3 linked regions of the Ovis aries genome follow. The protein of the gene in region 2 purifies or fractionates together with the protein of the main gene of each other region. This does not show direct contact. Links are inferred from orthologs where the notes say so. Each region holds a gene or a part of one and is shown on either strand. Other genes may lie near its edges. The genes, in order: RAP2C, MAP4K4 and STRN.

Evidence for each region.
Region 1: the proteins of MAP4K4 (region 2) and RAP2C purify together in Homo sapiens (affinity purification with mass spectrometry; 3 studies listed by BioGRID and IntAct, counting the BioPlex papers as one, with this or other methods). This does not show direct contact. The link is inferred for Ovis aries from reciprocal best matches to the Homo sapiens genes MAP4K4 and RAP2C.
Region 3: the proteins of MAP4K4 (region 2) and STRN purify together in Homo sapiens (affinity purification with mass spectrometry; 4 studies listed by BioGRID and IntAct, with this or other methods). This does not show direct contact. The link is inferred for Ovis aries from reciprocal best matches to the Homo sapiens genes MAP4K4 and STRN.

Annotation. Positions count from the first base shown.
Region 1 is NC_056080.1:102,670,266-102,674,549, forward strand, and holds the start of RAP2C (ras-related protein Rap-2c), read left to right. Parts: upstream 1-1,383; 5' UTR 1,384-2,670; intron 2,671-2,787; exon of another isoform or gene 2,788-2,892; intron 2,893-3,010; 5' UTR 3,011-3,562; coding exon 3,563-3,835; intron 3,836-4,284. UniProt on the Homo sapiens protein: Small GTP-binding protein which cycles between a GDP-bound inactive and a GTP-bound active form. May play a role in cytoskeletal rearrangements and regulate cell spreading through activation of the effector TNIK.
Region 2 is NC_056056.1:99,985,637-99,989,762, forward strand, and holds the start of MAP4K4 (mitogen-activated protein kinase kinase kinase kinase 4), read right to left. Parts: upstream 2,886-4,126; 5' UTR 2,613-2,885; coding exon 2,556-2,612; intron 2,237-2,555; exon of another isoform or gene 2,215-2,236; coding exon 2,149-2,214; exon of another isoform or gene 1-2,148.
Region 3 is NC_056056.1:87,166,374-87,170,017, reverse strand, and holds part of STRN (striatin), read right to left. Parts: intron 2,627-3,644; coding exon 2,579-2,626; intron 1,793-2,578; coding exon 1,671-1,792; intron 1-1,670. UniProt on the Homo sapiens protein: Calmodulin-binding scaffolding protein which is the center of the striatin-interacting phosphatase and kinase (STRIPAK) complexes.

The sequences.
Region 1 (4,284 bases), on a different chromosome or scaffold from region 2:
ACTGCCAGGCTGTGCTCTCGTCGCTAGTCTTTATATTCTCATTGCCTAATAAAAGTAAACTGGTGAACAACTGGAGTCTAATGAGATAATGTATGTGAAAATACTTTTCTAAGTATAGAGATGTTTGGAGAGGACAGGAGGAGCAGGAGGAGGCAGTTTAAATGGGGCAGGCCTGTCCACTGATCCCTAGACAGTTAGGATATTGGGTTTGGTTTGGTTTTGAGGAAAGGATGATCGACAAATTTTTTTCTCCCTTCAAATATTATGAAATTATATTTATTCCTTTTTTTCCCCAAGAATACCTTATTACTGTCTTAAAATTAAAATGACACACGGACATGAAAATCCTTTCACAATATCCTTCACTAGTAATTAATGACTTTCAGGTTTTAATGGCTATATAACTATATGTTGCACCACTCCCACATATTTTACACAAATGGGGGCAACTACATATTTGTCCCTGGTGGCTCAGTGGTAAAGAATCTGCCTGCAATGCAGAAAGCAAAGGAGACGCAGGTTCAATCCCTGGGTTGGGAAGATCCCCTGGAGGAGGGCATGACAACCCACTCCAGGATTCTTGCCTGGAGAATCCCATGGACAGAGGAGCCTGCTGGGCTACAAGTCCATAGAGTCTAAAAGAGTCAGACACAACAGAAGCAACTGAGCACACATGTATTTGTTCAGTATCTTGCTTTTCCTTCATCCTTACAATATATCTTGGCCATCTTTTCATATCAGCATTTACAAATATACCTTTCTCTTTTTAATAGCTGCACAGTATCCTATTTTTGAGTGTATACACACATTATTTTTTAAATCATCTATTGAAGGATGTTTAAGTTACTTCCAATTGTTTACTTTCCTAAACACTGTAATAAATACCCTTCCTAAGAAAGTTTAGAAGGATCTTCGGGCTATGTGACATCTGTCAACTCTGTAGTCGATGACAGTGACCCAAACAGACTCTGCACCGAAGGGAGAGGTATGTTTCATTGAGTAGAGAAACAAACAATTCTCTACAAAATACTGTAGCCAACAAGTTCAGAGATAGTAGAGTTGTCAACAGGTGAAGCCACCTTAGCAAGAGGGGCACCCTGTTTTGACAGTTTAGTAACAGCAGAGACTTGAGGCAATTACTCAGCACTGATTGTGAGATCAGAAGAGGAATTTCCCTGTCACAAGCAGGGCTGGGGCAGGGCTGTGGGTCCCCCAGACTGTCTGGAAACAGACAAGGATGGGCAGCAGAGCTCCAAATCAGGCAACAGCACGTGTGAAAAAAAAAGCAGTGACTTGTGAGGAAACTCATAATTCACAGACCAAATCTCTTCCAGCAGAGGGCAGTGCCTCAGATATCAGGCGGGACTCGGGCCAGCTGGAGCCAGAGCTGGAGACTTCGCGGGACAGATTACACCAGCTCTAGGCTGAGAAGAAACTGAACTGTCCTTTGGATACTGTAAGTGACACTGGGGAATACTGGAGAGACACATCAGGACTTCTCACTAATTTGCTTGTTTTCTAATATCTAACAATTGGGGCTTGGTATTATACAGTTGGGCCCTTAGGGCTTGCAAGGGGGATTTGAGGTCATTTTTAACTCCACTGGCTACTTACTCTTTCAGCTTTCTGTGTGCATGCCCGAGTCAAAAAGGGAGTGACATGCATAAAATATAACCTAGGCTTCTGACCCCGGGGCTCTGTGGATGTGACACAAAGTTTACAAATAGAAAGCAGAGGGAAAGATATGTAAGAAGTAACAATTTTATCTAAAAATAGAAACTTTGTGTGTTTAACCTTAGAGTCCTTTGAATTTCAAAGATTATGAAGCATGGTCATTAAAACAAAGTTTAACTTGGGAGAGCCAAGTTAAATTGCTGTGCCTTACAAGACAATGAAAAGAGTTAGTCTGCTGGCCTAAACAATTGCCAATCCACGCTTCCTCGCTGCGTAGCGGTTGGAATCAAAAAAGAGGCAAAACTGAGTTAGAGTACCTTAATAAAGTCTACTTCTAATCCTGCTGTTTTTCGAGCCTGGTGATAAAAAGGAAAGGAGCGACTCTGGCATTTGCTGGTGGAGACAAGGCAGATTTGCCAGGTGATAAAGTACCCTGTGTTGTGTGTGTGTTCAATTATTTGTCAGCACGGCTAAAGAAAACACACCACAGAGGAAATCAGAACCATTAGTGAAGTCGAAGGCTAGTTTGCACGCGTTCCTTCGAAAAATACCAAGTGGAAGGAAGACCAGCAAAGAGAATCCACTTTCTCGGCTGTTTTATTTTCTCTGCCGCTTCTAGTCCGGGGATGTTTGGCTTGTGCTCCGGGTCATCAGATCCGCCCCAGGCCGATCGAGTCTTCAGGCCGGACTGGGGGCCCTCTGAGACGCGGAGAGGCTTCCGCGAGGTCGGGGTGGGACTATCCACATCAGCAGCAGCAGAAACAGCAGCTGCGGGCGGCCGAGCGGAAAAAGGAGACTCCGGAGGTCCCGAGAGAGGCCCTTTGCCAAGGCCGTAGCCCAGACCCGAAACCGTCCCCGCTGTCTCGCCCAGCAGGGCGCGGCCCCAGCGCCACCCGGCTCGCCCCGGAGAGGTGGGACTTTCCCCACCGGAAGTGATCCTGTCCAGTCTCGGGGAACTGGGGCACCTCAACCAGTGTGTCAGGGAAACCCTTCCGGGTGTGTGCTGGGGGGGGGGGGGGGGGGGGGTGAGAAAAAAAAAGAGGTGGGTTCGCTTGGAGTCCCAGCGGCCGCCGCCGCCGCCGCCGCCGGACGGCCCCCGCCCCTTTCCCCTCTGCGAGCGGTAGCGCAGGGGAGGCGGTGAGACCGAGGAACCAGCCTCTCGCCATGGCCTTGGCGTGACAGAGTTTCCCGGGCGGCCGGGCGGGTGCGGACGGCAGGGTAAGCGGCGGCGGTGGCGGCCGGGTCCGGGTGGGAGCCGCAGGAGGCGGCCGGCCGGGCTGCCGGGCTGGGGCGGGGGTCAGGCTGGTAACGCGCGCCCTCTCCCCCCGCTTCACAGGCCGGACGACACCCGCGGCAGCCGCGGCCCAGAGACCCGCCCGGGCGACAGCGACTGGAGCGGAGCCCACAGGCCCGGGCCGGCTCGGCGGCGCGAGCAGGAAGCGGGGTCCCTGGGCCCCTTTGTGTGAAGGGCGAAGGAGGGGTGCGGGGCAGCCCCCGACCGCGGGCTCCTTGGACGCCTGTCTTCCCGCGGGGGTCCCCGTCGGTCCTGCGGCGTCCCCCCCTCCACTTCCCTTCGGGGGGCGCGTCTCGCCTCCCCCCGCCCTCCTCCGGGCTGCTCAGGGCTCGCCCTTTCCCCACGCCCCCTGCCTGGGCTTCAGTTCCTATAGGAAGGGCATTACCATCCCATCCCCACCCACCCCGACACTTCGCTCTTTCCCCTCCCCCTCCTTTAACTTCCTCTTCTTCCCCCGTCCGGCCCTCGGCTCCTCTGCACTCTCCTCCCGGGTTCGCAGATTTCCGCCCACCTTCCGCCTCTCCGAGCAGCGCCGCAGCGAGCGGGGTGTTATTTTTCCCTCCCTTTGGTAGGAGTTGGTGAAGGTGAGACTCAATGAGGGAATACAAGGTAGTGGTGTTAGGGAGCGGAGGGGTTGGCAAATCCGCCCTGACTGTGCAGTTTGTCACTGGGACTTTCATTGAGAAATATGACCCCACCATTGAAGATTTCTACCGCAAAGAGATCGAAGTGGACTCTTCCCCCTCCGTGCTGGAAATTCTGGACACCGCAGGAACTGAGCAGTTTGCTTCCATGAGAGATCTCTACATCAAAAACGGCCAAGGTTTCATCCTGGTTTACAGTCTGGTTAATCAACAGTCTTTTCAGGTAACCAAACCAAGTCTTATAATTTGTAAGAAGGGGGTGTGGTAATCCAACATTTACTTCTGGTTTGCTTGCACCGTGCGTAAATGACTGTTTTGCTTTTGAAAGTTAGACATGGCGCATTTTTGAGGTTACTCCTGGCACGGAAAAGTACCCAGTTGTTTCTGTAGAGAGGACTAAAGTCGCAACCGTCAACAAATGTTTTAAAGTTATTTTTAAGTGAAAGAGAAGTGAAAAAAGAAATGTCAGCTTGTGTATGTTTAGCCTGGACTATAGCCTTCTGAAGTTGCTTGTTCAACTCCACAAGCCTTCGTTAAGGTACTCAAGCAAACAACATTTAAAAGATAATCTCAGGCAAATAGAGCACTTTGTAAGGAAAATTATTTGGAGACGATTATCTGTTCCACAGATAAATTCCTCTGCGTCTGCTTCGCCCTCCCCCTTTTTGTTCT
Region 2 (4,126 bases):
AGGTGGGAGGAAGGACAGCAGAGAAAACCAGATCAGTCACATGCTGGTCACTGTGAGGCCAGTGCTTGCCTCTTCCTCTCCGATGTCTGTTTCAAATTCTCCGTAATAATAAACCAACTGCAGGCGAGCAAAAGCTCCCGTCGTGCTCCTGCTTCAGACTGCAGGCCATTGTTGAACAGATTTCCTATAGTTTCCTCGGCTTCGCATAATTTGAGCATTTCTTCTCAACTGTACTTTGTAAGGAGAGAGCCAGGGAGCCTGTTACTGCCCAATCCCAACAGCTTCCCAAACCTGGTGCTTAGCAAATCGATCCCAAAAGCTTTGGGGGAGAGAGTGTGGAACCAGAGGGAAGGAGCAGGGGAAACCTTGGGAGTGAACCTGCCCCAGGTGCTCCTGTTAAGAACACCTAGCTCCTAAACCCATGAAGACACATCCATGGTTCACTCTCTTTTTCTCTTACAGTTTAAAAACAAAAACAGCTTCTGGTCTACTTCCACCAGCCTTCACATTTGTGCTGACCCTTGAAGACCCAAACAATCCAACTTCTGTGTAAGCAGGTCAAATACAAGCCCTGGCTAACTCACTTGGACGAAGACGGTCACCACTCAGACCTGGCCAGAAAAACTCGGTTAGGAAAAACCAACCAGTGCTTAAACAAACACTGAGGCTGGGGAGAACAGTTTTTTGGAGCCAGTTAGCAGACCACTCAGGGAGTTGCAACATGACCGTTTCCAAAATTTTCCAAAAGCTTCCAAATTCAGTTGAGCCCGGCAGGCCGAGCTTAACAGGGCTCTCTTTCAAATTCAAAAACCTGGCCCTGGCCCCAACTGTTAGCCAACAGAACACATGCTGATTCACTTGAGATCACCTAAAAAGACGGACTCCGTCCAGTTCAGACCACAGGCCGGTACACAGCCGGGATCGGGGGAAAGTTGGGGCTGTGGATAGATAAACCCTATTCACAGAGCAGAAAAAGGGACAATGGGATCCACACTTAATTTGGCCGAAGAAAACGTCTACAGTCAGCTTCCAACACCCCCCTCCTCCACTTTTCGCCAGACAATGACAATTCTTCACAGCGAGCCACAAAGCCCTGCTTCATAAGATTTTTTTTTTCCCTATCCCAATCCAACTAGAAAACAGGGAACAGCTATGGAACACCCCCGGTGCAGTGCAGATAACTTGAAGAGAACCTTCAGTAACAAGAAACAAATCAGAACACGGAGCATTTCACATTCTGTTTCAAACATTCAAGGGCCCTGCCTCCATTAGCCAGAGCTCTGGGTAATCTCCACAACGTGCACCGAACAAAACCAGCAACAAGCTTAGTCTCATCAGGTGTCTGTTACTCAGGGCCGACTCAGAGTCTCCGAATTTGTTAGTTTCAAGGGACTGGGGGTTGGTGAGGGGGGGGGGGGGGGGGAGGCTCATGTTAAAAAAAGAGAAAGACCTGGGGTTGGTGTGAAATCTGGGCACCCTCGCCACTCCTGAGCTCTGTCTCATTTCTGTTTCAATTACACACCTGTCAAACAGGTTATTCCTGGAATTCAGACTGTATAATCCTCACCCTGTAATTCTTCCTGCTCCTGCTACCCAAACACACAGCCCTCCCCTGTTCCCCAAAATATGCGCCCATCGGTAGAACGTATGCTGGTGATAAAGCAGAACCAGGTATCAGCAAACTCCGCTCCCTGGGCTCCCGGCGAACATTCAAACAAGGCAACACGAAGACAATTCTCAAGGCCAAGGCAGTGCTTTGGGATAATCACAGGCGAGGCCTGCCTATTCTGAATTTTAATGAACACACTAACTCCGAAGGCCAGATCTGGGAAAAACGGGGGTGGGGGGGGGGGGGGGGGGCATGTAGGCTGCCTGATGGAAAAAAAAAAAAAACGCTTTTCCATTTTATGGAAGTGCATGCCTGAGAGTGGAGCGTTATTTCCTTATCTGAGAGCCAGGAAATGAGGTCTTTTCAGGCCAGTGTGAATATAAACTCTGCTAAAAAACAGCGGGACGACGAGGCAAGCCCCCTCTCCCAACTTCAGCCGCGCGGCGTGGCCTCCGGGCGGCGGCGTGTCCATCCCCCGGCGCCCCCGGACCAGAAGTTTCAACCCGTCCCCGGGAAACAAAGGAGGCGCCCGCACCGACCTTATAGACTTGTCCGTAGGTGCCATTTCCCACCACTTCTACCAGCTCGAAAATCCCCGCCGGATCCTGGAGGAGAAGGAGGGGAGGGGTGAGCGTCGGAAAGCAGCACAACAATGAATAAAGCAGCAGGACAGCCGGAGAGAAAGGGCGGCGACCCCGGCGGTGGGCTTCGTGCGGTGGGGTCGCGGGAGCCCAAGGGCCGCGATCCGGGGGCCGGGGGTCCCGGGCGGCGGCGGCGCCGGCGAAGGGTCGCGCCCCGGGGGCCCCCGCACCCGTCGACGCGGGCAGACAAAGGGGCCGCCGTACCCGCGGTTCTTCCCGCGGCGGCGCCCGGGCGGCCAGGGCGCGGCCCCGGGTCCCCGCGCGCCCCGCGCCCCGCGCCCGGGTGCTCCTGGGCCGCCACTCACCCGCAGGGAGGACAGGTCGATGTCCACCAGACTTTTGGCAGGGGAGTCGTTCGCCATCTTCCCTTTCTGCCTCCGCGGATCGGCCACGATCAGTAGGTCTCCGGCGTGTTTCTGGGCGTCGGAGGCCCGGCGGGCGGCGCGGGCCCGCGGGCGAGGCCGGGGGCGGCGGGCGGGGCGAGCGCGGGTGGGCGGCGGCGGCGGCGGCGCTCACTCCATGGCCGGGGCGGCCGGCAGGCCCCCGGGCGTCGCCCGCGCCTCAGGCCCCGGCCCCGCGCCCCGCGCGCGCCTGCACTAGCGGCCCGGAGCAGGGGCCGCGGCGCCGCCGAGTGTGGAGCCCAGAGCGCGAGGCCGCCAGACAAAGATGAGCGGGGGGCGGGGGCGGTGGCGGCGCGGGAGGAGGAGACACGGGACACCGAAATCGCACTCGGAGGAGAGCGAACAGCTCCCCCTTTCCTCCTCTGGCAGGAAAAGCGGGCGGAAGCGCGCTCGCGCCCGGAGGCGGCAGGGCGGGGGGCGCGGGGTGGGGCCCGGGCGGCGACCGCGCGCGGGGCCGGAGGGGGGCGCACCCGGGACAAAGGGAAGCCAGCCCGGACCCCCCACCTCCCTGCCTCGGGCGGAGGGGCGGGCCGACCCCCGCCCCCGCGGAGCCCCGCCCCGCCGCGCCCCGCCCCGCCCCGCCGGGATCCCGGAGCTGGAGGGTCCGCCCGGCCCCCGCGCCCCCCTTCTTCCCTTCGCGTCCCCCACCGCCGAGTCTGCCCCTGAAGACCCTCGTTTCCGGTTTCCCTAGCGGCTTCTCGGGTCCTTTCTCTTCTTTTCCAGGCTGAACCGGTGACCTCGTTGTAGTTGGGGATTCGCCGAGCATCACTCGGCCGACGCGTCCCGAGACTTTAGGCGGAAACTGAATCCGAACCGCTCCGTTCACTGCCTTGCCCCGAGTTCCTCACTGTGGACGAGGCGAGGACCAGGAGTCTTGCCCCAAGTTCTGTGCCTAGAGATCGCTGAGGAGCGATGGACAGGCTTCTTCCGGCAACTTTGGAAGCCAGTCAGCAGTTAGACAGTTTCATCCTGTTTAACGTGAATAAATGGTCTGCAAACAGTCATTGCATCACTGTCACTCCGCTGGCCAAACACCCTAATGGCTCCGTATTCCCTCACCGCAGGGTCCAAGAATCACCGAAAGGGACTGCAAAGGCGCTGATCGCCTACCCCACCTCCAGAGTTTGATCCACCAAGTGTGGGGTAGGCCTGAGAGGCCTCATTCTCTGTACAGGCGATGCTGAGTTGCTGCGACGGGAAGTTTGAGAACTGGGGCTCACAGGATGAAACTCCAAGGCCTTTGCGATCGGGCTTCGCCAGCATCATTATTTACCAGTACTTAGTTTACACACAGTGTCTACTGAAGCCCTCCTATGGCCCTAGGGTGATGCTAACCTCATTTTAGGGCTGAGGAAGCTGAAAGAGAAGTTGTTGTTCAGTCAAGTCTGAGAGACTCTTTGTGACCCCCATGGACTGCATCGTGCCAGGCTTCCCTATCCTTCATTGTCTCCCAGAGTTTGCTCAAACTCATGTCC
Region 3 (3,644 bases), about 13 Mb from region 2:
GAACATCCCATGGATGGAGAAGCCTGGCAGGCTGCAGTCCATGGGGTCACTGAGAGTCAGACACGACTGAGCGACTTCACTTTCACTTTCGTGCCTTGGAGAAGGAAATGGAAACCCACTCCAGTGTTCTTGCCTGGAGAATCCCAGGGACGGGGGAGCCTAGTGGGCTGCTGTCTATGGGGTCGCACAGAGTCGGACACGACTGAAGCGACTTAGAAGCAGCAGACCAAAGAGACATGGGAAGGAAGAGAGGCTAGAAAGATGGTAATAATGACCCTATATGAGAGACAGCAAAAAAGACACAGATGTATAGAATAGACTTTTGGACTCTGTGGGAGAAGGCGAGGGTGGGATGATTTGAGAGAACAGCATTGAAACATGTATATTATCATATGTGAAACAGATCACCAGTCCAGGTTCGATGCATGACACAGGGTGCTCAGGGCGGGGATGCTCACCCACTGGGATGACCCTGAGGGGTGGGATGGGGAGGGAGGTGGGTTCAGCATGGGGGACACATGTACACCAATGGCTGATTCATATCAATGTATGGCAAAACCTACCACAGTATTATAAAGTAATTAGCCTCCAATTTAAATAAAATTAAAAAAAAAAAAAAAAGAACCAGAGAGGGAAATGGAGTCACAAAAGGCTTCTTCCTGCCCAGGATGGGAGAAACTTGAATTTACTATATGCTCAGGGGATGGAAACAGAGCAAAAAGGGTAAGGCTTCAGATGAGTGCAAAAGAGAGAGGCAGCAAAAAAGAAAGACAGTGCAGTCTCAAAGGAAACAAGAGAAGGAGGTCAACAGCGAAAGGGAAAGAGTTGGCTTGGGACAGAATGAGATCAACTAATCTCTGAAAGAGGGATAAAGGAAGTGACAAAAAGTATGAAACAGAGAAATCCAGAAAAGAACTGCAGCAGGAGAGGGTGTTATCTTTCACAAAATACGTTAAATGATTACTAAATAAATGTTGGGAGAATATTTTAGTTACTGAATTTCTTATCTTAGGTTTAGTGATGAAATTAATCTAAAATGGTAATAAAAATAAACTATGGTTTTATGACAAATATGACACTTCATATTCTAGAATTTATGGAGAATTTAAAGAGAAAATCAAAATAATTGAAAGAGAATTTATGATAATATCTAGTGATATATCCTACAGTTTTTTGATTCATGGTGCTGTTTCCAAATCTAAAGGGTACTTTTTAATTTTTAAAAGTCTTTTAAATATATTGGTGTTATACACTTTGAAAATCATTAGCCTCTACACTCTGTAATAATTGATCAAGACGATGATGCCAACATTCATTTTCCTTCAAAATTATTTGTCAAGAGTAGTGACAAAGTATGACTACAGATTAATAATAATGTGTCAAGTACTGTACACATGCCTACAAATGAAGAAAACAACTGTCAATCAAGGCAGCATTTTCAATCAGTAAGACTTGGGGGTGGGAACTCTTTTTGCAGGAAAAATACATTATTTTCCCTCTTTTTTTAGCATATTATATATATATATATCAAATTGATTCCCAAATATAGAAACCCTTTTTAACAAAATAAATTTATTTTCAAAACCATCTCATTTTATCCATAGATATGCAATATAAAATGCATAAAAAGAAACTATGTGATTCCTTCATATTTTGGGGGAGTCACATACCATAGGAGTCATAGGGATCGATGTTGGGGTTAGTGGTGTTCCAGCTCTGGATCAGTCCATCAGTACCACCACTGTAGCACTGCTCACCATTGCTGCTCATCACCACACAAAGCACTGGACCTCTGGGAGAAAAAATCAATTTCCATCCTCAAAAAATCTATTTGGTATTACAATGAGTTAGAAATAAGAATGCTTGGTTTTTCAAATGGCTTTCTCTTTTTCTATTTTGTACAACAAATAAAAAATTTACCAAAGCACTATTCATTTTTCTTCCTCTGCTAAACCAGTGGTTAGTGGTCTATGGCCTGTGGATCAAATCCAACCAGTGAACTGGTTTTGTACAATCCTAAAGCACTTACAGTTTTTACCTTTTTAAAATGTTATAATACAAAACTAAACTAAAAGCAAGAATATACAACATTAAATATGCAGCCTGAAAAGCATTTACTATCTAACCCTTTTTAAATATAAAACGTATGCCAACCTCTGTGCTCAATCGAGTGAACAGGTACATTTCTTAAACTTAAATGGAAACAGGAAAAGCATGAAATGTGGCCACGATTTTTTAAATGTCTCAGGTATTTTTACCAGGTTATCTTTAAGGAAAAAAAGATCAGGATTTCTAATAGTTAAACTTAACTGCGTCAACTTCATTTTAAGAGAGAGATATATACATCATCTAAACATCATGCGAATAATACCTAATTTCAGCAAGGATCCCTATTTGGTAGTGATATACTTGTCACTAACATTACATTATCTGCCACTTTCTTTTACATTTACAAAAAAAATGCTACCAAATACAATAAAAATACCACATACGACAAATACATACATGAAAGAAGATATACTAATCAGGCTGATTTACAATGATGTTGATTTAACACAAAGAAAAAGCACACACTTACTTATGAGCTCTGAATGTATAGATAGGCTCCACATCAAGAGACGTGCTCCTAAATCAGAGAGAAAGGAGGATGTTTTTATCATTCTAAAAGTCAGTAGTAAACAGTATGACTGAATGTATGTCATAAAAACGCCCCTAGAAATATCAACACTATGGTAATATACAATTCTCAACCCCAGGACACAATAAAGCCTACCTAACATCAATCACATATTTCTGTGGCTTCAAGAAACAAAATTCTTTAGTAACTGTTACAGCACTTTTAGCACTGTCCTAATCTATTTGATTAAAGGGAGAAAGAGCCTCACTCGGAGAGAAAACAGAAGGGTTTTGAAGACATAAATTTCTGGATTTAATTTCCAGTTCTGTATCTAATTGGCTAACTTTAGGCAAATTATTTAATCTTTTGAAACTTTAGATTCCTCTATGTTTAATATAAAATATAAAAATAGGGATAACAGCAAATATTTACAAGATTAAATGAGATTCTTCACGGTAAAACAGCGTAGGACAGAACCATACAGAACAGAATTTCAATCAAAGGTACTTTAATTTCCTCGCATTTCCATAAAGATTAACATGTCTGTCCTGAATACCTGCAGAAACTGTCCACATTAGATTTGAACATCAGAACAGATTATTCACTACTCAGAACACTGAGTGTATGAGTACTCTACATGGCTTATGCTGGCCATACTGAGAACAGAAACTGGATTGTATTACAGATTTTTTTTTAATAGGCATATGATAGCTCTCCTCATTTCCAAAGTTTTAAGTTCAAAGGTAAACAAAGACTATTGTTACTTGCTTGTGAAGGTGTTATTACTAAGCTACCACCAGCAAGAAATTTCAATATATTTCAAAGTTACAGTCAAGAATATATGATGAGATACTCAACATTCTCTCATCTAATATGATGCCCACTGTGAACTAAAGAACTTGAAGAACAAAAGGCACAGTTTGTAACCAGGAAATACCTTTCTCTGTTAAAGACACCTGATCTACATGAAGATTCACTTGGTTTTAGCAATATCCAGTTGAGCTGTCTGATGAACGTCTAGGTGTGA